Ovis aries: one gene and its partner. The protein of the gene in region 1 purifies or fractionates together with the protein of each later gene. This does not show direct contact. Links are inferred from orthologs where the notes say so. Each region holds a gene or a part of one and is shown on either strand. Other genes may lie near its edges. The genes, in order: GLS and SIRT5.

Region 1 (12,878 bases):
GATCTTAAAGGCAAAAATTAGAAAGGACAATAGGGAGAATAAAAGGGAAGAATTTTAAAAGTACAAAACAAGCACTTCTTTGAATTTGCACATCTTCTATGTATACCCATTTTAGTTGTTGAGTGTTATAACTATTTCATGTTGGTGAAAAATCATAAAGGCAAAAGTCAAAAAGGAAATGAGGGAGAATAAAAGGGAAAATTTTTTAAAGTATAAAAGAAGAACTTTTCTTGGAGTTTGAACATCTATGTATACCCATTTTAGTTGCTGAGTGTTGTAACTATTTCATGTTTTTTCCCCCAACAGAATCTGAGGGCTTATCACCAGTTGTTGGTACTATAATTTGAAAACCTGTTCAGTTCAGTTCACTTGCTCAGTCGTGTTCGACTCTGGGCGACCCCATGAATCACAGAACGCCAGGCCTCCCCGCCCATCGTCAACTCCTGGAGTTTACCCATACTCAGGTCCATCAAGTCGGTGATGCCATTCAACCATCTTATCCTCTGTCGTCCCCTTCTCCTGTCCCTAGTCCCTCCCAGCATCAGAGCCTTTTCCAATGAGTCAACTCTTTGCATGAGGTGGCCAAAGTATTGGAGTTTCAGCTTTAGTTAGCATCAGTCCTTCCAATGAACACCCAGGACTGATCTCCTTTAGAATAGACTGGTTGGATCTCCTTGCAGTCCAAGGGACTCTCAAGAGTCTTCTCCAACACCACAGTTCAAAAGCAGCAATTCTTCAGCGCTCAGCTTTCTTCACAGTCCAACTCTCACATCCATACATGACCATTGGAAAAACCATAGCCTTGACTAGATGGACCTTTGTTGGCAAACTAATGTCTCTGCTTTTGAATATGCTATCAAGGTTGGTCATAACTTTCCTTCCAAGGAGTAAGCATCTTTTAATTTCATGGCTGCAGTCACCATCTGCAGTGATTTTGGAGCCCCCCAAAATAAAGTCTGACACTGTTTCCACTGTTTCCCCATCTATTTCCCATGAAGTGATGGGACCAGATGCCATGATCTTCGTTTTTTGAATGTCGAGCTTTAAGCCAACATTTTCACCCTCCTCTTTCATTTTCATCAGGAATCTTTTTAGTTCCTCTTCACTTTCTGTCATAAGGGTGGTATCATCTGCATATCTGAGGTTATTGATATTTCTCCTAGCAATTTAGATTCCAGTATATGCTTATTCCAGTCCAGCATTTCTTATGATGTAATCTGCATATAAATTAAATAAGCAGGGTGACAGTATACGCAGTCTTGGCATACTCCTGTTATGATCTGGTTTTTTTTGGTCATTAAAACTTAAACACTTCTCAAAAATATCCTAGTTACTATATATTCCAAAAACTACAGTTTTTAGCATTTGAGTTTCAGTGGTGAAGTATAATATCATTAAGCAGTGCCACAAAATGGTATTAAATTTGGGGAAAGAAAGTGTTAGTTGCTCAGTTGTGTCTGACACTGTAACCTCATGAACAGTGGCTTACCAGACTTCTCTGTCCTTGCAATTCTTCATGCAGGAATGCTGGAGTGGATAGCCATTCCCTTCTCCAAGGGATTTTCCTGACCCAGGGATTCAACCTGGGTGTCCTGCATTGCAGGCAGGCTCTTTACCATCTGAGCCACCAGGGAATCCTGGGGAAAGAAGTGGCGGGAATATCAGGAAAGGTCTTTGGGGTAATTTATGTGTAGTTGAAAGTTTGGGGAGAACCTTTGCATTTGTTCCCCAGACTATTGAAGTAAATTCATTTTCAGATCAGAGTCTGAGCTTTTAAATGCTCAGATTGGTAGATTTTTTTTAAAATCAATTTTGAACTCTTTTATACATTTATATTTATTATTTATTTTGTGAGCATAGTATTCTAGGGATGACTTAAATCTCTCTCCAATGGATAACAATTACTCTCTTGTCCAAAAGTAAGTAAATATTTAGCCTTTTATGTTAGCTGTGTCTATAAACATGGTCATTTTAAATTCTTTGCCCTATCTACCATAAGCTAAAGAACTGTATATTTTATGTTACTTACATAGCTTTTAGGCAAAGCAAATACCATTTACTGGTGTTGTAAATACATGGAAAGCTTATTCTGCAGTTTTTTAAAGTGATAACTACCACTATCTGAAGTTTACTTAACAAGCCATTTTCTGTAAATAATTGGTATGTTATTTTCCACTGATTGTTTTTGACAGCTGGCTCAATTTTTCTTTAAATATTAAGTCATCAGTACTGTTGAATGCTGCTTAATGGTTTTAGATCAGGATTGAAGATCTAGAAAAATCATACCTTATAACAGTAATTACTAGCTAGTAGGTTTGAGAGCCAGCAAAACTGTAGAGGCATATATTTTGGACTCTGAATTCAGAGGAACAAGGTTTCTAAATATATCTCTACCACTGTGCAGTCTTGGAAAGTTTGTTGACCAGTCTGAGCCTCTGAGAAATGGGGACAGAGTCAGCCTGGTTTTTTTTTTTTTTTTTTTGGTCAAACAGTAAATATATTGAGCATCCACTCTGTACCAGGAACCATACTTCATTTTGCATAATAGTATTTTTTGTCATCATTGTAGGGATTGAACTAGAACGCATGTAAAATAGCTAATCAGAATACTTAACAAAAGTTATCCATAATTTTTAACTCTTATAATTAAAATATCCCAAATATATTTTAAAAATTTCTCTTAAGAGCCAAGATTGTTTTAAGGAGTAATTATATATCCAGGATATATGTTTAAATTACAATAATCCTATATGTTATTTTTTTTAAAACATTGGCATGAAATTCTTGTACTTTAGGGTTGACTTGAAAAACAAGAAGCTGGTATGATAGCTTTGAAAACAGTATAAGTGACATTAATGCCAACATTAGTGTTTCTTTGAGGAGAATTTTATATGTGCATGTGTAAATGTACATACACTGTGAGCCGACGCTGTATTCTGTTGTCTTTTAAAATAGAAATATATGGACCACTCTCTAATTTTCTGTTTCTTGAAATAAAGGTAAAGCCCTTTCCAGACATTTTATATACACATACATACAAATACATGCATATATTTGTACCTTTGATTTTAAAAAATAGTGATGGGTGGGGAGGGGATTGGTCTACCCTAGATCTATAATTCTTATCACTATAATACATATGACAGTCATGAATGTTCAGAATATTAAGCTGTGTTCATTTCAGTTTCAGAGCTCCCCAAAAGAAAATATTTATAGGTTCATTATAGTTTTATCTCAAAACTTTGCAATGAATAGGAAAAAATTTTTTCTCGATTAATTTGGTTAATCATAGCATCTTATACCCGGAGAAGGCAATGGCACCCCACTGCAGTACTCTTGCCTGGAAAATCCCATGGACAGAGGAGCCTGGTAGGCTGCAGTCCATGGGGTCGCTAAGAGTTGAACACGACTGAGCGACTTCATTTTCACTTTTCACTTTCATGCATTGGAGAAGGAAATGGCAACCCACTCCACAGTGTTCTTGCTTGAAGAATCCCAGGGATGGTGGACCCTGATGGGCTGCCGTCTACGAGGTCGCACACAGTCGGACACAACTGAAGCAACGCAGCAGCAGCATCTTATACCAGTTTATTAGTTAATTAAGGTTTAAATATATTTTTTATGGTAACATTTATTCTAACAGTCTTTATGATTTGTGGCATTTGATGTGTATATGTAAGCCTAGGTCACTTTAGAAATAGTCACTACAACTATTGACAATTGAGTACTTTCTGCCAAGCAGGGCACTGAGGGTATTGAATGTGTTAAGTCAACTCACATCTCTCTTTCTCAGATGAGGAAACTGAATCACAGAAAAGTTAGTTTACCCAAGGTGACTTGACTAGTAAATATTATAGCTTGAGAACTTGTACACTAAGCTTTTCTTAATTACTCTGTTCCACAGATTTTACAATCAGGTTAATTATTTGAACTATATCTTTATATAACTGTTTATAACAAATATATGACTATAATATATGTGTTATATTCAAGGATTCCCTCAAAGCTCAGTCAGTAATAAATCTGCCTGCAATGCAAGAGACCTGGGTTCACTTCCTGGGTCTGGAAGATTCCTGGAGAAGGAAATGACAAACCAGTGTTCTTGCCTGGCAAATCCCATAAACAGAGGAGCCTGGCAGGCTTTAGTACATAGAGTTGCAAAAAATCAGACACAATTTAGCAACTAAACCATAACCATGTTTTACATATGTATGCTGCTGCTGCTAAGTCTCTTCAGTTGTGTCTGACTCTGTGCGACCCCATGGAATCCCGTCCCTGGGATTCTCCAGGCAAAAACACTGGAGTGGGTTGCCAGTTCCTTCTCCAGTGCATGAAAGTGAAAAAGTGAAGTCACTCAATCGTGTCCGACTGTTCGCGACCCCGTGAACTGCAGCCTGCCAGGCTCCTCCATCCATGGGATTTTCCAGGCAAGAGTACTGGAGTGAGTCACCATTGCCTTCTCCGTTACATATGTATAATCATCCTATAAAAAAACAATGATAACAATGAAATATTGACTCTTACCTGAACATTTTCTAGGCTGTATTGGGTGATTGTATATTAGGCTGTACAGGAAGAAATCACCATAACAGATGATTTAGGATTACAAAATATCTGTGTAAATTAATGAACATGTTTTAAACGTGCTTCTCAATGTGGTTTCAGTAATATTGTTTGATTTTGGTAAATCGGCATTTATTGGTATGATAGTAGGTCTTGAGGAATCGATCAACTGTAATCGGCTTCATTGATTATTTTTAAATGGATGTAGCTAAAATCTACTTGAAAGTTCACATAAGAGTTAATTTTGTGTTTTTTTTTTTCCTCTTTAGTAAAATAAAACAGGGTCTGTTACCTAGTTTGGAAGATTTGCTGTTCTATACAATTGCAGAAGGACAAGAGAAAATACCTGTTCATAAATTTATTACAGTAAGTTTTTACATTTTTCTATCCTAACTGTTAAAAATCAGTAATATGAATCAATATATGGTGATATTGCTATGGAGTTTTAAAGTCATCTGACATGTAGATTCTGACTGACACTATTTCTCTTATTTTCAAATTTTCATCATGCTCATTTCAAGGTAATCAATGAAAGGAAATGAAAGAAACAATGAAAAACTTTTCCAGAAAGAGGGTAATAGTGACACTAAAATGCCATATATATATGTATTCAGGTCTTGGGTAGAAGTTTTTAAATACAGGAATTAAAAACTTGTAGTTGGAATAAGCATATACATTATTTGCACTATGTATTTACAGACTCTTATTTTTTTAAAAACAGGCACTCAAATCTACAGGATTGCGAACGTCTGATCCCAGGTTGAAAGAGTGTATGGATATGTTAAGATTAACTCTTCAAACAACATCAGATGGTGTCATGCTAGACAAAGATCTTTTTAAAAAGTAAAAATTTCTGCCAAACCATTAATGGTCATTTGCTGTGCTATGTGGTGTTTTTTTCTTTTAGAACAAAATTGCATCTTTGAAAGCCAGTGCTTCCTGTGTAATTGAAAAAAGAGGGGAGGGCATTGATGAACATCAGTTGCTTAGAACAACTTTGTGCACATTAAAGTTCTGTAATATACTGGGGCTAAGAGTATACCTTGAAACTGTTCTGAGGAAATGTAGCCATGGATGTTTTCAATTAATAATACCTGGAGATTGCATTCAGTTTGAATGGAACACACTCTGTCCTGTTTAAATTGATCTCTAATTCATCTGCATATCTTGCAGCCTTTCTCAGCATGGTCTCTGTTTCTTTTCTACAAGTTGATTTAGATGACATCATAAAATGGGAAGGCAGCCTGCATTCATTAGGTTTACATGTCTCCATTGTCTGCTTTTCTCTTGCAGCAAACATAGGCTTACTGCATAGGCTTTTTTTTTTTTTTTTTCAGAATATCTAAAAACTTAATGCTAACTTTGGACATTAATGCCTTGATTTGCTTGAATGAGAATATTTTTATTTTCCTATATTTGCCAATCTTTACTTTCTTTAATGTGTTCCTACTAGTTTGATTGCTTAATAATTTGATAGACAAGTTTGTCATGGAACCCAAGGAAGTATATGGTATTTTACAACTGAACTTGAGTGAGAACTAAAATAAAACTGTAAACACTACTGTTAAACCTTGGCTTTTTCCTGACTATAAGCTTAGGTTGAAAAGAATTCCAGCATCTACCTTGAAAGTTTATTTGTATGTATGTATTTTTATATATTTTTTATTTTATTGTCTTTTGGGGGCTAGATGATTTGTTCTAGATATCTGCTGAAGTATCCTAGAATATTAAGTCATCTGAAGGTATAAGTATTTAACTGAGATCCTTCCAAGTGTCTTGGCATACCATGAAGCAGTGAGTGCTGCCAATTTTAGATCTCCGTCTTTTCACCACATGGTTCTTGATGCTATTAACTCTGCTGACCTTATAAAATGTAGATTTTAGGTTCATGTTGGAATTGATGTTAGGAATTTTGGGTCTTCTGAACCTGTTCTTTGTAAAGGGAAGGAAATAATTTCTAGTTAGCTGTATTTTTGCAGTAAGATTATTTTATTTTTAGTGATCATGAACTCTGTGCAGAGTGCCTTCTGGGGAGTTATTTCGGTATATCTGAAAATAAAGTTGTCAGACTTGATTCAAAGACATGGTATATAGGTATATTGATTGTGGGTATGAGGAATTGCTTTGAATTCCTACATGAAAGCAGTATTTTATATCTTTTCAGTACTGGTTAAGGTTTTTTTGTGCTTCATAAACATACTATTGTGTTTAAATATGAAATTTGAAAAACTAATTTAAATACACTGAGCAACCAGAAAAGCATAAAATTTTCTACTGTATTAAAAATAACAATTAGCGTTATTTTAAACACTAATCCAATTTAAAAAAAAAAAACCTGATGATTGTAATATAGGCAGTTCCCAACTTGACAGATGCTTAGTAGTCTATGTGAGCAGGCAGTGGAAAAGTTTATGTCTATAGGCATATGATTTCTCTTTTTGTTCCTAGAATGAGATTCAAAACCTCTGACCGCTAACCTTTTCAGGTCACCTGGGAAGGTGATTGCTTCAGAGAAGTATTTTCTCTGTTTTCAAAATAAGTTTTCTAGTTAGTGTTGCCAGAAATAAACTATCTCAGTTTCATGCAACTGGAAAAGCAGATGTTACAATGGAATTCATTTTCCCAGAGAAGTTATTTATAAAGAAAGATGAAAAGGTTTGGTTGAAGTCAATGTGTTGACATTTTACCTAAAATACCTTGTTAGTATATATATTCAGCCTTTGAGGGTAATCTGAGAAGCATGTAGAATTTTTCTTTAAATGGGAAAATAAGTTCTATGCATACTTTTTGGGGCATAGTCTGTTTGAAAGTTGGAGACTGCCTATACCTATCTAGATACTCGATTGATTTTAATGCTAATAGTCTTAGTAGAAGTAGAAAATTTGTGTTGAAAAGGAATACTTTATTTATTCATATATTTTTAGCCATGTAAGTATTAGAAGTATTATCATGTGTGATCATAATTTTTTTATCATCTTGTTTTGGAGAAAATGAGTGATAGTCTTTGTATTTATTTGATTTTTCTTTGAAAATTCTTATCCACTATGTTATTTTACTAATGAGAAATTATATTTGAAATATTCTATAAAACAGATGTGCATAACAGTTGTTAATCATAAACATTTAAGTTAAAATGGAAAGTAAAATTATTTTTACCAGTTTAGGATGAGAAAACTGAACAAAGAAAGCATGAGAAAGATGTCACTTGTTGAAAATCATAAAACACTTACTCTTCATTCTACTTTATATGACTTCTGATTTTCTAGTTAGATTCATGACATCCATATTAAAATAACTCCCAAGAAAAAATTACAGATTAGAATGCTCCTCATCATGCAGCTAGACACTCTTCTGAGTGATATTGCCTTGACTGGCCACAGTAATTCACCAATGAAGGCTGTTAGCACGGCTTTACCAGCACCTTCTCATAGAGTAAAAAAAAAAAAAAAATCCAAGTTTCACTGACGGTACAGTTTTTGTATAAAACCTCCTTTTAAAAATGCTGATTGATTTTGAATAGGTAAATAGTAGTAAGGTTAATAGTTTTTGTTTGACAGTCCTTATATTTTCTCATGCAACAGTTCTTGAAAGAAGGAGGATGTAGATTTTACTTGATACAGAATAGCCATTTAAGATCAGGAATTATCAAGTTTTTTCTTCTAAGAAATGTCTTTCTTATATATTACTTGTAACTCTCATGTGCAAGTTGAATTACTGTTTGATGCATATTAAATATTAAGTCAGTGACAAAACTCAATATTAGGTAACATTGAAACTATCATAAAATTTTTTGGTTTATTGAAGTAAATATTATCTCTTAGATGTCAGTTATTTCTACATGTATAGATTAATAATGGAAATTAGGATTATAACTTTTTCATGTTGTAATTAAAGCATGTGTTTATCACTGAAAATAACCTATTTTATTTTAAATCAGTGTTTAATTTTATGTTGATCAAGTGAGTATATATTCTGGATTTTTGTCGATAGTTAAAATGTGATATCTGGCTTTTAATTCTAATTTGCTATTTCATTTAGAACATCTGAATTCAGATACTGAGATAAAAACTTATCATTTACCATGGACTGAAAAATTGAGAGTGTCTATTTTCCAGCTCTCCTTTTATAGTTAGTGCATGTATTTACTTGCAGGTTACACAGAGTTTTCTTATCTGTAAAATGGGGAAATTACCTTCTTAAAGGGTTCATCTTTTGAGGGTTAAACAGGATAAATAGTACTTGAAGCTTAGTACTTTTTAGTCTGTTACAGGCTTAGTCTTAGTTGGTATAACGGCTTGATGCTCAAGTCTACAGTGTCTTCCTTTATCGATTAACTGTTCTATTTTTGAGCTTCTGAGACTCACTTAAGATGAGCTTAGAGTATATGGTTGCTATTAACCTATTTATAAAACTCTTCTTTAGGGTTATATTAATAAATTGATTTTCTAGCTTAAACTCTTTTAAAACAAGGCAGAATATTGATTCAAATTATTAGATTTCATGCTTTGCCATCCACATGGTTTACCATATCATTTAAATAGTTTTTAACAGTGAAACATTTTTATTCTACAGTGTGTTACACATCTTAACAGTGCATAGAATAATGTAAATATTTTTGGTGATTCAAGTAATATAAAATTATTATACTATTATACATATTTTTTAAAGTTAAACATTATTTTTGCAAGCATTTAAATAAGTATTTTATGTTAGAGACAAATCTGACTAAACAAAGTTTTTAGCTTAGAAATGCAACATTTTCATAATTAATTTATAGAAAATATGTTAAAATACGGAATGTTTAGTTTTTCGTGAAGTTTTTTCTTAAGGGACATAGGTCTGAGGTTATTTCATGGAAAAAATAAAAAGGATCTCAGCTATATATTAAAGTCTGATTTTTGTTAACCAGATGTCATGCTGAATGTTTATCATATCTGGTAGGTGAAAAAGTCTTGTTTTTAGATGGTCTTAGTACTTAACCTGGTGGAATGCTCTGTTGTTTTAGTCTTTGATGCAGTTTTTAGGCTATCTAATTTATTTCTTTAATTTGTTCAACAGCTTACAAGCAGCTACATGAAAGGGTGCTTGGAGGAAAGAAAATAATGTACAAAGAGTATAATTTCTAGAATTTGTTTAAAATGTTGAATTTCTTTATTGTTTGAGTATTTTCCTAATATTGTTATTATTAGCAAGTACTAATTTTTTCTTATATTCCACAGATGTGTTCAAAGCAACATTGTTTTGTTGACACAAGCCTTTAGAAGAAAGTTTGTCATTCCTGACTTTATGTCTTTTACTTCACATATCGATGAATTATATGAGAGTGCTAAAAAGCAGTCTGGAGGAAAGGTAATGTTTTTGACGTGAATATTTTCCTAAACCAATAATTGAATAAATTTAGCTAAACTTGAGGTGTAGAGACTAAAATTACGTGGTTTTGTGTTTTGCTAAGTAAGAAATTTAAGTGAAGCCACTGGATTAAGTTCTTTTAGAGTAACAGAAGTAAACAGAAGTTTAAATTGCTCAGTTTGTCTGACTCTTAGCAATCCAATGGACTGTAGCCCGCCAGGCTCCTCTGTCCATGGGATTCTCAGGCAAGAATACTGGAGTGGGTAGCCATTTCCTTCTCCAGGGGATCTTCTGACTCAGGGATTGAACCAAGTCTCCTGAATTGCAGGCAGATTCTTTACTGTCTGAACCACCAGGGAAGCTTAGTGCTTTTGTATTTTTTTTTTAAGTGCTTTTAAAATGTTTCAAATATTATGGTTGTTATTTTCATTAAAAAGAAATATTTTTGATTTTCAAACAATTAAGGTGACCCTTTATATTTTTAATTAATTAAAAAATAACTTCCTGGGAATTTCTGTAGGTATGATATCCTCAAATGTTAAATAAAATGTTTACAGTTTTTAAAATCCTCTGCATAATATAAGGGCTATTTTATTTATTCTCGATATTGAAAGTTTTTAGATTATGAAACCCTATTATCATGACCCTGATTAAATAAATTTTGTTTTTTTCCCCTTTAAAAAAAAAATTAATTCGTAGTTCCTCTTAGACTGTGTTTTTTTCTAGGAAGAGAGAATGCAATAGAAAACAGATGGTGACAGAGACTCTGAGAGGTCACTTAGATCTCACTTGTAATCCTCAAGTCTGTTATGCTCTTAGTTTTTATGAATATTGTTATAAAAGATACACTACAAAGCCACTGAGTACTATAAAATGTTCATTAGTGGAAGCTAAATTAAGATAAATTTTTTTGATAGAAAAGAATATTTTATATTTTATCTGTTGATTTCTTTCCACTGTTTTGGATAGGTTGCAGATTATATTCCTCAACTAGCTAAGTTCAGCCCTGATTTGTGGGGTGTATCCGTTTGTACAGTAGATGGACAGAGGTAAGTTTATTTCAGATTCGTCAAAACCAGCTCTAAAACTTAAATTTGCTCACTACATAACAATGAGCATGAGGTAGAGAGGAGTATCTTCTCTAATAGTAATTAGCCCTCTTGAGATGACATGAATTCAAGAAGGCAGAGAAGTTTAAATTTTAGTTTAATTTTTAAAACTCAATTGAAATAATACTTTTTACTATATTTTATGAGGCATTTCAGCTACATTATTCACAGTTGTAGTCTTTTTATTTGAATGTTTATTGTTTAAGGAACTACAGTTACAGATTTGCTTAGGAAAAATAGATTTGGCAAAATATGAAATTACTCACTAATGAACTGACCACTAGTAGAATTAGTTCACCTTTCTTCACTTAACATTGGTTACGCATACTGTCATCATTTTTGTTCCTCTTGCTGCTTATATGATTAGCATGGTAGTTAAGACAATATAATGTAATGTATGGTCTTTTGCCCATCAGTCATTTGCAAAAGATACAGGATTTCATGAAGCCTATGAAATTTGATTTTCAGGATATAATCACACTGCAGGTATAATCACTGACATCTAAGGATCCAGCAGAATTTTAAAAAGGATAAAAATATGAGGGCACCTCAGAGAGAATAATTTGATTTTAAAAGTCAGTCAAGAGAGGCCCTTGGAAAAATGAACAAAGTTCTGAAATATTTTTTAAAGAATGACCTTTCTATTATGCTGTAAGTCAGACATAAAGATTTATTATGTTGCAGTTTGGTCTTGTCAGTCAGAAAAATTATGCCAAAAAAAGAAAATCATATTTTCTACTCATTTAAAGACTTCAGCTCAGAAATAAAATCATTCTGGTTTTTTGTTTGCTTTTTACTAAGGTAATTATTTCTTTTTACATTGAAATATAACTTACATAAAATGAGATAAACAACTCCTTGGTGTATATAGCTTGGTAAATTTATGTTAGATAATTTTATCCTAAATTTTGTTAAAACTACAACTCATAATATCCCAATTAAAGCTTTTATATGTCTCAAGTGCCTTCATTCTAATAATACTTTTATCAGAATATATTAGAAAATAAATACTTTTATTTTTTTACTACTTAATCTTTCTCAAGTATTTACAGTTTTTTTTAAAAAATGTGATTTAGTTCATTCATACTTAATGATAAGGAATCTGAGGCCCAGAATTTGTATAAAACTGGCAGAGGTGAAACTAGCACCTAGGTCTCTAAACTTCTAGTCCATTATTCTGTCTGTTATGACATACTTTTATCCTCATCTGGGCCTGTGAAATGAATTAAACACTCATGTGTTTTATTAAATATTGGGTGCCGTGAACAGACACGAATTCATGAGAAGACATGGCTTAGCCTATGGAATAAATTCCAGTAGGGAGTGGTATTCCTGTTTTCTTGTATTTGGAGGAAATGGTTTATCATGTAGTAGAAATTTTTATATTTGGAGGAAATTATTATTAGCTAATTCTCATGCGTGTCCTTTTTCTTCTTAAACATATTTTGTACATATAGGTGATTCTTTTAGTTTAGCCTTCTTATCCAGAGAAATTTTGAGACAAGGCTTTGGACTAGATCGTAGGTATTTTTAAATCCAAAGGTAGTAAGAGAGGCTTTTGTCGGGTAATAGAATGATTGCCAAGTTGAAGTTACAGGCTGAATTACAAGCTATTCATAAATTTGATAAGAAAAATATACTCTAGAAGTGAGGTGTCCCTCTGATGTCTCCATTAACTTCTGATTGTCGAGGGGTAGTTATTATAGTGCCCAGTTTCACTATGAATACATTCCACTAGAATGAATGTGTGCCTGTATTGTGTTGGCTCATTGATTGGGACACCTGGGATACTTGAGCAAATTAAACAGAGATTGCCGCTCTTGGGGTCAGTCACAATTTTTTCATTTTCAAAACAGT
Region 2 (12,878 bases), on another chromosome or scaffold:
AATCATGATGAATCAGGACAAAATAAGACTTCATAATTAGGTCTGACGTGAAGTTGCTCAGTCGTGTCCAACTCTTTGTGACCCCATGGACACCAGGCTCCTCCGTCCATGGGATTTTCTAGGCAAGAGTACTGGAGTGGGTTGCCATTTCCTTCTCCAGGGAACTTCCTGACCCAGGGATTGAACCCAGGTCTCCCACATTGTAGACAGACGCTTTCCGTCTAAATAAGAACTTTCTCTAAACCACGAAAATGATAAGACACCCTCCTATCCTGGCTAATAGGAGGGCCTGTTGCCTCTTGACCAATCCCAGCTCAAGCTTTACTTCACTCCCTCCTCTTTAGATCATGTTCCTTGAAATATCCAATAAAAGGAAACTTTTCCCAGACAACATCCAGTGTAGATCAGAGCCTCCTTCCATGACTCTCCCTGCTGCTGCTGCTAAGTCGCTTCAGTCGTGTCCAACTCTGTGGGACCCCACAGACGGCAGCCCGCCAGGCTCCTCCATCCCTGGGATTCTCCAGGCAAGAACGCTGGAGTGGGTTGCCATTTCCTTCTCCAACCCAACACAAGCCCAAATCCTGTTCTGAGTCCTAACTTCATCAAGACAGGCTTCCCTGGTGACTCACTGGTAAAGAATCTGCCTGCAATGCAGGAGATTCAGGTTCAATCCCTACGTTGGAAAGATCCGCTGGAGGAGGAAATGGCAACCCACTCTAGTATTCTTGCCAGGAAGTCCCATGGAGAGAGGGGCCTGGCGGACTACAGTCCATGGGGTTGCAAGAGACACACTACTTATCAACTAAGCCACCACCACCAAAGTCACCAATATGTCACCAGTATGCCTGCAGCCCCTCACCGTGAGCTTCTCCCTCCTTGCACTTGCTCAGCTACAGATGTGTCCCTAGACTTTTGCCGGAGAGCACTCACAATGCATAGAAACACATCTGCTGAAAATCCTTGCTTCCACTCTCATCTCCATACGTTCTGATTCTCATCCTCATTCTTGTTACTAATGTCTTGGGACCATTTTTTTTTTTTTTAAACACATGCAAATAAGTACTCTTTGCACTCTAGAATGTCATACAGGAAGAATCATACATGCATTCTTTGTTTACAGCAACCATGCTGTGTATTGTGAATGTGTCCTTGTTTATTGAACTCGTCCCCTGCAGATGGTCATGTAGGTTGTTCTAGACTCTTCCAAACAACAACTCTGTAGATACGTCACGTTGAAGGTGTGTGAGTCTCACTGTTGTAAAAATGTCCAGACGGGATTGCTAGGTCAAAGGGCAAGTGGATTTGTAATTTTGGTAAGTTGTCCTCCAAAGGGATTGTAAAATGTTGGGAAATGTGTTCTTTTTCTATTTTTCCTGTACCTACAAAACGTTAATCCTGAGTTCTTCCAACAATTTGCGTTCTTCCACTAGGTAAAAGTCAGATATGTCAGCTACCCTTTTGATGTCATGGATGTGAATATTGCCTTTCTCTGTGTCTTTGTCTTTCTCCGTTATCCCTGTCTAACTCCTCAGGGATAGATAAAGATTTAGTCAGTGTGCTTTAAGGCTCACAGATTTCTTTGACATGATCTCATCTTAATCCCATTTGTTGTTACGGTACATATCTTTCCGGCCTCGTTCAGTTCTCAGTTAGAATTTACATCCTCATAGAAACTGTATTTTGACTCAAAGTCAAGCCAATGGCTCTCATACCTTTTTAAAAAAGTATCAGAACCTGTTTTTCAAATGAATTTTCCCATCTAACTCCTTCCTAAACCTCTAAGGCTGTGGTTCTCAAACTTGAGTGTTCATCAAAATCACCTGGAGCCAGATGGGGGCCCTGCCTGAAGAGTTCCTGGTTCAGTGGGTCTGGAGTGGAGCCTATGACTTTACATTTCTGATGAGATCTCGGGATGATGCTGGTCTGGGAACCATACTTTGTAAACCACTCTACTAGGCACCTCAGAGCACTTAAGAGTCAGTCAGTCAATCAGTTCAGTCGCTCATTCATGTCCGACTCTTTGCAACCCCATGAATCGCAGCATGCGAGGCCTCCCTGTCCATCACCAACTCCCGGAATTCACTCAAACTCATGTCCATCCATGACTGGACTGCAGCCCACCAGTCTCCTCTGTCCATGGGGATTCTCCAGGCAAGAATACTGGAGTGGGTTGCTATGCCCTCCTCTAGGGGATCTTCCGGACCCAGGGATTGAACCCACACCTCTTTATAGCTCCCGAATTGGCAGGCCTGTTCTTTACCACTAGTGCTACCTGGGAAGCCCATATGGGTGTGTGTGTGTGTGTGTGTGTGTGTGTGTGTGTGTGTGTGTGTGTGTATTTGTAGAAATATGAACGTTTTCTGATTGTTTCTGTTTGTTTTGTGATTTTTCTAAAGTCCATCTCAATTGTTAGCGCAACACAGAAAACCTGATGCCACCTCTCTGGATCGTCCCGAACCGATTGTTTTCCCAGCTGTACTGTGGACTGAAGTCTCCAATCTCCACACAAACCAAGATTTGCCTAACAATGGCTCGTCCAAGTTCAAGTAGGTCTTTCATACACGGTGCCATCACCTCCCTCTGCAGCCCACTCCCTTCCTTCTCTCCATCACTGCTTTCATGTCTGAGGGGCGCTTGATTGGTCCAAGAGTTAGTTAGCCTTGGTCGCCACTGCCTCCTGGGGAGACCAGAGAGCCCGCTCCGTCAACTGAGGAGCCTGCTTCTGGTCTTGCTCAAACCTTCAGTGCCTTAGCACCGATTGGCTACACTTGGAAGGTGGCCTGTGCCCAGCAGACCCTGACTGGGTGGCCTGGGCCAGCCAGAGGCAATGTGGGTCCACACTGGCTTCTCCCGGCGTGGGCATGGAGGGGGCTCCCACAGCTTGTGAACCACTCAGGCCCGGCCAGCTGGGACACAACCTTTCCTTATCCCGCGCGCGAGGGCTGCAGAGCTGCAGCGCCCAGGACAGTGGGAGCCACAGGCGGTGCCAGGACCGAGTCTCCGCTGCAGGAGAGACAACGGCAGTTCCCATTCTGGCTCTTGATCCTTATCCTGGGATGATGATATTTGGCTCAGGCCACCTTGTGATGCCCAAGTGCTCGGTGCAGAGCCTGGACACAGGAAGCCCTCACGGAAGGCGAGCTGCTGCCCCCGTGGGTCTGAGCTTGGGCAGGAGGATGCCTGGAGATGGAGGGCCAGCCCTTGTGTCCTGGGGCACACGCTGCGGGCTGTGACCACGACTCCCTGCTGCCGAGTCATTCTGTGCGTTCAGTCCCTTTCCGTTACCCCAGGTCTCCGGGGCCGTCTTGTGAAAAAGACCAAGTCTCCCTGGAGCTGTAGAGGAGAGTGTGTCCAGAGTGGGATGGAGCATTTGTTCACGGGGAGGGGCCCTCGTCCTCACCGTGGTAGTGATGCTGAGGGAAACTGGAATTAGCAGGATCCTCCAAGGGAAGTGAATTTGGGGAGGAAGGGACGGCCTTTGGGGTCCAGTGGGCCTGAGGTCAGCCCTCATACCACACAAGCTTGCTTTTACTTTTAAGAAGGAAGATACATTCCCACTCGTGTGTGTGTGTATGTGTGCACGTGCGCGCTCGTGTGTGTGTGTGTGTGTGTGTGTGTGTGTGCGCTTAGTCAGTTTCGACTCTGCGACCCCATGGACTGTAGCCTGCCAGGCTCCTCTGTCCATGGGATTTCCCAGCCAAGAAGACTGGAGCAGGCTGCCATTTCCTTCTCCAGGGGATCTTCCCGACCCAGGGGTTGAACCCACGCCTCTTGCGTCTCCTGCATGGCAGGCAGGTTCTCTACCTCTGCGCCAGCTGGGAAGCCTTTTTTAATCCTCCCAGCAGCCCCGCTCTCTCAGGAAAGCACGCTTGTGCACATGAAACAGCTAAGGAGACCCAGACAGCAGAGGGTCAGCAGTTCACATAGGATCCCACTCGTGGGAGATGGTGGGGGTGGGGAGTGGGCAGATTGGGGCTCAGAGCTCGGGCTGTTCACCCCAGACCCCCGCCCCTTTCTGCAGACATCGTACTCTCACACATAAGGTGCATAGGGCCATCTTCATCGCATGGGAAGATTTTTATTTGGTTATCTTAAAAGTATAATTTCATGCAAGGTCAAGTTTCAAAATACAAGCAATTGAACTGGGACGTAAATGTCCAAATGAAACACTGGATTGACCAAGATTTTCCTCTCTTTAGATATGGCTGACTTCCGGAAGTGTTTTGCAAAAGCCAAGCACATAGTCGTCATTTCCGGGGCTGGCATCAGTGCTGAGAGTGGGGTTCCGACGTTCAGAGGAGAGGGAGGTTACTGGAGAAAATGGAAAGCCCAGGTTGGTAATGTTTCCAGAGCTCTGAAAAGCTCTTTCTGAATGAAGCCGTTTAACAGTTCGACTCAGGATCTCTATCAGAGGGGAATGTTTTGAAATTTTCTGTGACCCTTTTAGCCTGTTCTTTTTGGCATTGACACAAAGTCCATAGGGTTATAACCTCAGAAAAGCTGCCTCTTTTCTTTCTTTCTCGGCGTGTATTGATTATCCTTATTCAGATAGCAACTGGATTTCCTCTAGTAACCAAAGTGGAACCGGGAAACTTTGGTTAGCACAATTCATTACTTTTCTATTCATGTTGAAATTAAGAATTACACATTTTTAAAAAGTTCCTGTGAACTTTCCAAATGAAAACCAGTGTTGAGTTGTTAAAGGCTTAGGCCTTGATGCTCAAAACTTTGTACAAAGGTCATTAGAATATAAGTTCTCTGGGGGCATGGAGTTTTTAAAATTCCATTTTTATTGAGATATACATGCAATAAAAATCACCAATTTTGAGTGTACAGTTCAGTGAGTTTTGACAGATGTATATATAGTGGTACAGCTGCCACCACAGTCAAGATGTATAACATTTCTTTTTTTTTTTTACTTTATTTATTTTTATTTATTTATCTTGGCTACGCTGTGCACAGGTGGGATCTTTGTTCCTTCATCAGGGATCAAACCTGTGTCTCCTGCATTGGCAGGTGGATTCTTATCCACTGTACCACCAGGGAAGTTTGGAGGAATCGTACTTTTAAAAATATGTATTTTATATATCCTATTACTATAATATATACAACTTTTTTTTTTTTAATGTGTAGTTGTATGTGTGTGTGGACCTATAAAAACCCGAGTTTTCCTACTATGGCCATTATAGCTCAGTTGGGCGTTTTGCATTTTACTTTTCCTGGATAAATGAGATAGCCATCATGTCACGTGGAGCTCCATGAAAACGTGGCTTCCAGCCTAAGTTACCTTCCCATGTGTTGCTCTATGTTCATAGCTCACCTGAGTAGAAGATGGGACGGGTTACGATCTTGCTGGGGAAATTAAACCTAATTTCTCCAGGGCCCCTCAGGAGCCCCGGGGCCCCGCCCATGTGAACCTTCCCAGGACACCCCCTGGAACTGTGTGCCTGCTGCCCACAGCCAAGGGCACCTGGGAGTGTCCTCCCACCTAAGTCCAATGCCCCCGCGGCCCGGCTTCCAGAGCATCAGCCCTTCTTTCCCCCCTGACTCCTGCCTCCTGCCTGCCCCCCAGGACCTGGCCACGCCGCAGGCCTTCGCCCGGAACCCGTCCCAGGTGTGGGAGTTCTACCACTACCGGCGGGAGGTGGTGCAGAGCAAGGAGCCCAACGCTGGGCACCTGGCCATCGCCGAGTGCCAGGCCCGGCTGCACAGGCAGGGCCGACAGGTGGTGGTCATAACCCAGAACATCGACGAGCTGCACCGCAAGGCTGGCACCAGGAACCTTCTGGAAATCCATGGTGAGAGGCCCTTGGTCTTCATGGGAGGGGAAACCAGACCAGAAAACACATGTGCTGCTGGGGCCCAGCTGGGTCCACCGAGTCAAAGCAGCATGGTGCCAGGACCCCAGGGTCTGGCGTGCAGACTGCCTGGCCTGGAAAAGCCGGTCTGCATCCCTGCATGCTCTCCCCTCCCCGGGGGTCCTGTTGCGGGGGCCCTGTGCTCCCAGGTGGTCCCCACCCCACCCCCACCTGGGCGCTGGGAAGCGGGAGGTTTGGGCCGTTGAACAGCTGGGGCTCTAGCAGGATTCAGGCTGCGAAGGCCTGGCATCCCTGGGAGGTCCATTTACTCTCCCTGCCCTGCCCCTGCACCGTGGGCCCTGTCTGCTCCGGCTGTGTTCCTTCTCCACCCTGGAGCCTTAAGGGGGCTGCCAGCTCAGTGACCTTCCCTCCTGGGAGCCCACTGGGTCTGGTGACACCGAGGAGCTTGTCTGGGGTCCCTCTGGTTTCTCTTCTCTGCTTTCACTGACACCCTCCTCTTCCCTCTTCTCACTGAAAATCTAATGAATTTGTTCACACGAGAGCATAAATGGGTATGCCAGAATTTCTTCCCAAGGGCATTGGATAGTCTGTGACGCTGTGTTGAGCTGCTCAGTCGTGTCCAACTCTTTGCTACCGTTTGGACTGTAGCCCGCCAGGCTCCTCTGTGGGATTTCCCAGGAAAGAATCCTGGAGTGGGTTGCCATTTCCTCCTCTAGAGGACTGTCCTGACCCAGGGACTGAACCTGCATCTCCTGCATTGCAGGTAAATTCTTTACTGCTGAGCCATCCATAGAAGCCCTTTAATAGTCTACGAAAATTCAGTCCAAAGAAATGCATTTCAAATTGCAGAATTTCCAGAAGCAGTGACCCAGTGGGGCTCCACGCTCCCTTCCTCCAGCGTAACCATCTCCTCAGAAGATAAATCTCTGGATGGCCTGACCCTCATTATCCTTTTTGGCCAAACACTACTGCTGGAGGGACAGGATGCCACAATTAGACCAGTCTGGAACTTGTGCCCCAGCTTGTATTTGGGGAATGTGACTGACAGCTCCATCAGCTTGGCATGGGACAGAGGAGGGGGTTGGTTTCTCAAAGGAGGAGGCCTGGAGAGAATGGACCAGCGTGTGTCCCCTGCTGTGTGACCTGCTCAACGCTGACTATGTAGCGAACTGAGGTCACCTTCTATGGGTTAACTCAGTAAGTCTTTGCCAGTTTTAATGATTATTTTCTTCATTTGTTATTTGATTATTTATTGAGCTGCTTTTGTAGAAAAGATTCAAGCTTTACTAAGTCAATATTAAGATTTTGTAAAACATATCCCAAGCTACTGAGCCTACATCAGGCGTATTCTCAGAAAATCCTGCCCTTAGGCTTAGGTTGTCTTCTTCTACCCCGTTGCACATTTGGATTCCACCTGAACACCTGGGTGATCAGAGAGCTCCTTGGTCACGCAGTAACTTACTTCCTGTCCCTCTCTCCTTTCCTGATTACGAAGTCCAGGAGGGCATGTGTTCTGGCTTTTTCCATCTCACTACATGCCCTGAGGTTTCCCATGAGAGCTGGGATGGGTGCACTTGTTAAAGTGATGCATAGAAACTAAATCATTTTGTACTCTTTTAGACGTGGAGTCTGTTGCTCCCGATCATACTAAATTCCGGTCTTGTTCAACTTGGGTTTTTCAGGCAGCTTATTTAAGACTCGATGCACCTCTTGTGGAGTTGTGGCTGAGAACTATAAGAGTCCAATTTGTCCGGCTTTATCGGGAAAAGGGTGAGTATTCTGCACTCTGGAATAGGTGTGTGCTGTTTTGCCTCTTCAGTTGACTATAAACATGAAGAAATTGAACATTCGTCTATGACTCCCATGGATATTTATGAGACAAAGCTAGAGACAGTGCAGCTATATTGTAAGGGAAATATTTTGCTCATAGGTTACGGTAAGTGAAAATAACAGGCTCTAACTCTATACATTATTATCCCAGCTTTGTATTTAAACACACATCCACCCTCACCATGTTAACGTATCTGTATGTAGATAAACGTCCAGAAGAAAATCAACAACATATTAACAGGGACAGCAGGATTATGGCAATTTTGATTTACATCTTTCTGAACCTTCCAACATGTCTATGATGAACATTTACTATTGTAAACAGTATAATTGGGGGAAAAATTAAGAGTAGACTCAAAATATTGAGGAAAATTCTACCTAGCCATTGGTATAAGTTGTACAAGTAACTTATTAATATAATATCATTGCAGATGATTGAAATCGCAGTGACATATATGATGCAAATCATGAAACTCTCCTTAGCACAACAGTACTACACCCCCTCTCCCGTACATATTCCCTCGCTTGAGGTAGAACCACTGATAATCAATTGTTTGTGTCTACCCTCCTCATCCTCTTGTAAGCCAGTGTGTATTCATCAGAGGTTTTGTGCCATAGATGGCCAGGCAAAGAGACAATCTTTCTGGGTTATCTTATTTCTTTGTTCTTTGATTACATCAGTAACATTCTTCCTTTTCTAATATTATTTACTTCAGGGCTCCAGACCCCCAAACTCAAGATGCCGGAATTCCAGTGGAGAAACTGCCCCGGTGAGTAAAAAGACTTTGATCTGTGTTTGAAAAAAAAAAAAGAAAATTAGTAGGAGTCCAAATCTAAGTTCACTTGGAGATGCCTCTGAAAGATGCCAATGCAGAAACCAGCCCTGACCCATGAGGTCAAGGGTGAAAGGACAAAGGGTGAACCAAACCAGGCTTAAGAGAAGTACATCTGTCCTGTCCCTTTCTCCTCTGTGTTGTGGTGGGATCATTTGAGGTCTGGAACGTCTCAGAAGCCGCTGGTTGTAGACGTTCACCCTGCGTGTGTGAAGCGTGGCTGGCATCCCGGACCTAACTGGTCAGGAAGCCTCAGCTACTGTCCTCCTCCCCGTCTCCTCCTCATCAGTGTCACTAATCCAGGGCTATGGAGGCCGTAAGAGGTCTCACAGAGGTAAAGTTATGGGTCCGAGCAGAATTTGTGCAGATTAACAATAGCAAAAAAACTTGGAAAGATTTTTATGTCAGTGTTTCAAAACTTGACCTTAAAATGGCCTTTCCCAAAGCGTTTCATAGGGCAGTAGATCCGTGTGACGTTGGTAGGCACTACTCGGAGAAAAAAGATGTCACATGCCCAGATGAATATGGAACCACGAGAGTGAACCAAGTTTGAAGCATCTTGCTTCGCTGCAGAGCTACTCAGAGCACTGAATGTGTGAAAGTACCTTGTTACTCCCTAATGAGCAATTACACTTACATTTCCCTGGTTTACTGAACCTTTTGAATTTTTCTTAATAAGGATTTTCATTACTAAAATCAGAGTTTTGACCTAAAAGAGTAAGTTTTCATGACTAAATTCTAAAGTTTTGATCTAAAATAAACTTGATGAGGCAATTAATATGATGAAAATGGAGTTTGAGGGAGATTATTTTAGAATGTACATAAATACGTTGACTAGAGATGACCTAGGTTAGTAGCTCGTGAAAGATGAGAGATTTTGGGAAATTGACACAGGAGAACTTGGCTACCAACAAGGCAAGAGAGAGGTGAATTTGAGAGAAGATGAGGGAAGTCATTGATGACATTAGCAAGTGGTTTGTGTGTTGAAGGCAAATCTGAGTCCAGTAGTCCTCCTGGGTCCAGCTAACCGTGAGCACGGCTGTGCCTGAGTGGAAGGAAGTAGCTGGGAAAGAGAAAGCTATTTAGAAAAAGAAGGTCAAGGTTGGCTGAGACACATTCGCCAGCAAATCACCCCAGTGCATCCGGACACAATAGAGGCTACGATTTCTGCCGATCCACCTAGGCAGGCCTTCCCAAGAGTAGGTCTTGGGAGTGGGTTAAGGATGTCACTCTTACAGGTGTGAAGAGGCAGGATGCGGGGGCCTGCTGCGACCTCACGTGGTGTGGTTTGGAGAAAACCTGGACCCTGCCATTCTGGAGGAGGTGGACAAAGAGCTGGCCCTCTGTGACCTGTGTCTAGTGGTAAGTCACAGCCTTCCCTGATCTTTTCAAAGAGCAGAAACAACTAAAACTAATTTGGGTGATGATCAGATCATTTCTTTGCCACTCTTGCCACAAGCCCAAGCTCTCTTTTTCATACCAGGTAACTGGTGGTAAAGAACCTGCCTGCCAAGGCAGGAGACATGGGTTTGATCCCTGGGTCTGGAAGATCCCCTGAGAAGGAAATGGCAACCCACTCCAGTGTTCTTGCTGGGAAATTCCATGGACAAGGGGAGACAGGAGGGCTGCAGTCCATGGGGTTCTAAACAGTCAGACATGACTTGGTGTCTAAACATGAAAAAAATCCTTCCTAAATTCTAGGGATCAGCCAAAGGGGAGCCTCCCCATCCCCTCTTGTCCCCCAGACATTCTCCATTTATCCCGCCTAGCTTACCTTCCCTCACACCAGCAGCCGCAGACTGCAGGTTTTCTGCAAAGACGCTGCTTCTCCACCGTGTGGTCACTAGTGCACTTCCGTTTGTCTGCTCTGCAGGTCGGGACTTCCTCCGTGGTCTATCCCGCGGCCATGTTTGCCCCTCAGGTGTCAGCCCGTGGCGTGCCGGTGGCCGAATTCAACACGGAAACCACCCCGGCCACCAACAGATTCAGGTACGGGGTCACCGGGGTGGGAGGTGGACAGCGCTGAGCAGGTTTGGACGTGATCATCCAAGCAGATCTTACCTGCTGTCCTGGTTTTGTAACACAGAGTTCGTGTTTTCTTATTTGGTCTGTAGTTGCTTTGATGGAAGAAAACAACGTGCTATTTGTAGACTGAGGGAAGAAAGCATTAACTGTAGATTGAGGCAGCCATGTCTTTTTACAGGGAGTTTGCTGTAGGGTTTTTGTTTTCCACATTTTGAAAGTTCTTCTTTGACGCTTTAGACTTTACTTTTATTCATGCGTTGAAGCTAAGTATAGTAATGGCTTTTCGATGCCGGTCAGCTGAAGACTCAGCATGTAAGCCAGGGAGACACCCACATACAACTCCATCACCCACTGTTCTCCGTGGGGCTCCCTGGGCAAATTCCTCTCTGGTCTTATTGCCAAGAATGCTTGTACTTGTGGCCATTTAATGATATCGATCCTGCCCCCCCAAATCTGTGTGGAAAGTATAGATTATTGTAGGATATTCACATGTCTCAGTCTAGGCTCCAGTTTACATCTCCTTTGTTTTGCTTTCTTTTTTTTCACCCCTGCTTTTCTGTCTTCCCTTTTAATGTACTTTATATATTCTTAAGAGTCTAATTTCCTTTCCAGAGTTAGGTAGACTATGAACTAATACATCAATATGAATAAGTAAAATGTAAAACGTTACTGAAGCATCTTGTCAATATTTTAGTCGGTGACTTTTATCTCAACTACGTATTTTTAAAAATGATGACTGGGAACTTCCCTGGTGATCCAGAGGTTAAGATTTGGCCTTCCAGTGCAGCGGGTGTGGGTTCCACCCCTGGTCGGGGAGCTAAGATCACACATGCCTCTTAGCCATAAAACCAGAACATAACAGAAGCAGTATTGTAACAAATTCAATGAAGACTTTAAGAATGGCCCACATTAAAAAAAAAAAAAATCTTAAAATTTTTTTTTCTAAAATCTGATGACTGGGTACCAAGGAGATTCTAATGTAACTGGTGTGAGGTATAGCCTGGGCCCCACCTTTTACACGCTTCCTGGGTGATTCTGATATGCATCCAGTGTGTACGTCTTCACGTGAAAGGAAAATGAACTTGGCAGTTTTCCCTGAAAGTTCAGACGAAATTCTTGGAGTGTAATGATATCACTTCATAAGTTGGGCCTCCCAAAACCGCAAACCTGCATCAGCTGCTACTCATCTTCAACAAAAATTCTTCAGCTTCCCATCCTGAAAACCTGCAGTGTCTCTGTTCAAATAAACAGGCCTCTCGCTGGTCTGAGACTTTGGTCAGATCTGAACAGCACCAACTGTGAAGAAGGCTGAGAGCCGAAGAATTGATGCTTTTGAACTGTGGTGTTGGAGAAGACTCTTGAGAGTCCCTTGGGCTGCAAGGAGATCCAACCAGTCCATCCTAAAGGAGATCAGCCCTGGGATTTCTTTGGAAGGAATGATGCTAAAGCTGAAGCTCCAGTACTTTGGCCACCTCAAGCGAAGAGTTGACTCATTGGAAAAGACTCTGATGCTGGGAGGGATTGGGGGCAGGAGGAGAAGGGGACAACAGAGGATGAGATGGCTGGATGGCATCACAGACTCGATGGATGTGAGTCTGAGTGAACTCCGGGAGATGGTGATGGATAGGGAGGCCTGGCGTGCTGCGATTCATGGGGTCGCAAAGAGTCGGACACGACTGAGCGACTGAACTGAACTGAACTGAACTGAACAGCACCAACCGCAGGAACCGCAACAGATGCTCAGTGGACCTTTTTATACCACAACGTCTTGGAATTTTCCCAGATGAGTATAACTGATCAGCGATCAGTGAAGCCAGCGATGCTTTTATCTGGGCGTCATCAAAGCTGACATTTAGAAGAGGCGTGCGTGGTCATCTTCTCATCCTACTTGGGTTTTCAAACAGGGAACCAAACCCAGAGTGACTGAGAAGCTGGTTTAAATACGCATCTTAACAAAGGCCAAAATTTCTCACATCTCAGATGTAACAGATGTTGGCTGAACTCTAGCCTAGGTCAGAGGTCAGCAAACTACTGCCTGCAGGCCAAATTCACCTACTGCTGCTGCTGCTGCTAAGTTGCTTCAGTCGTGTCCGACTCTGTGTGACCCCATAGATGGCAGCCCACCCAGGCTCCACCGTCTCTGGGATTCTCTAGGCAAGAACACTGGGGTGGGCTGCCATTTCCTTTTCCAATGCATGAAAGTGAAAAGTGAAAGTGAAGTCTCTCAGTCATGTCCGACTCTTTGCAACATCATGGACTGTAGCTGACCAGGCTCCTCCATCCATCGGATTTTCCTGTCAAGAGTACTGGAGTGGGGTGCCATTGCCTTCTCCGAATTCACCCACTACGTTTTTGTAAATAAAGTTTTATT

The links.
Region 2: the proteins of GLS (region 1) and SIRT5 purify together in Homo sapiens (affinity purification with western blotting; 3 studies listed by BioGRID and IntAct, with this or other methods). This does not show direct contact. The link is inferred for Ovis aries from reciprocal best matches to the Homo sapiens genes GLS and SIRT5.

What each region holds. Positions count from the first base shown.
Region 1 is NC_056055.1:193,136,257-193,149,134, forward strand, and holds part of GLS (glutaminase kidney isoform, mitochondrial), read left to right. Parts: intron 1-4,832; coding exon 4,833-4,929; intron 4,930-5,284; coding exon 5,285-5,406; intron 5,407-9,782; coding exon 9,783-9,912; intron 9,913-10,881; coding exon 10,882-10,961; intron 10,962-12,878. UniProt on the Homo sapiens protein: Catalyzes the first reaction in the primary pathway for the renal catabolism of glutamine. Plays a role in maintaining acid-base homeostasis. Regulates the levels of the neurotransmitter glutamate, the main excitatory neurotransmitter in the brain.
Region 2 is NC_056073.1:42,237,463-42,250,340, reverse strand, and holds part of SIRT5 (NAD-dependent protein deacylase sirtuin-5, mitochondrial), read left to right. Parts: intron 1-2,396; 5' UTR 2,397-2,431; coding exon 2,432-2,546; intron 2,547-4,199; coding exon 4,200-4,333; intron 4,334-5,572; coding exon 5,573-5,798; exon of another isoform or gene 5,799-6,582; intron 6,583-6,668; exon of another isoform or gene 6,669-7,501; coding exon 7,502-7,589; exon of another isoform or gene 7,590-8,365; coding exon 8,366-8,419; exon of another isoform or gene 8,420-8,439; intron 8,440-9,720; coding exon 9,721-9,844; intron 9,845-10,256; exon of another isoform or gene 10,257-10,355; coding exon 10,356-10,471; intron 10,472-12,878. UniProt on the Homo sapiens protein: NAD-dependent lysine demalonylase, desuccinylase and deglutarylase that specifically removes malonyl, succinyl and glutaryl groups on target proteins.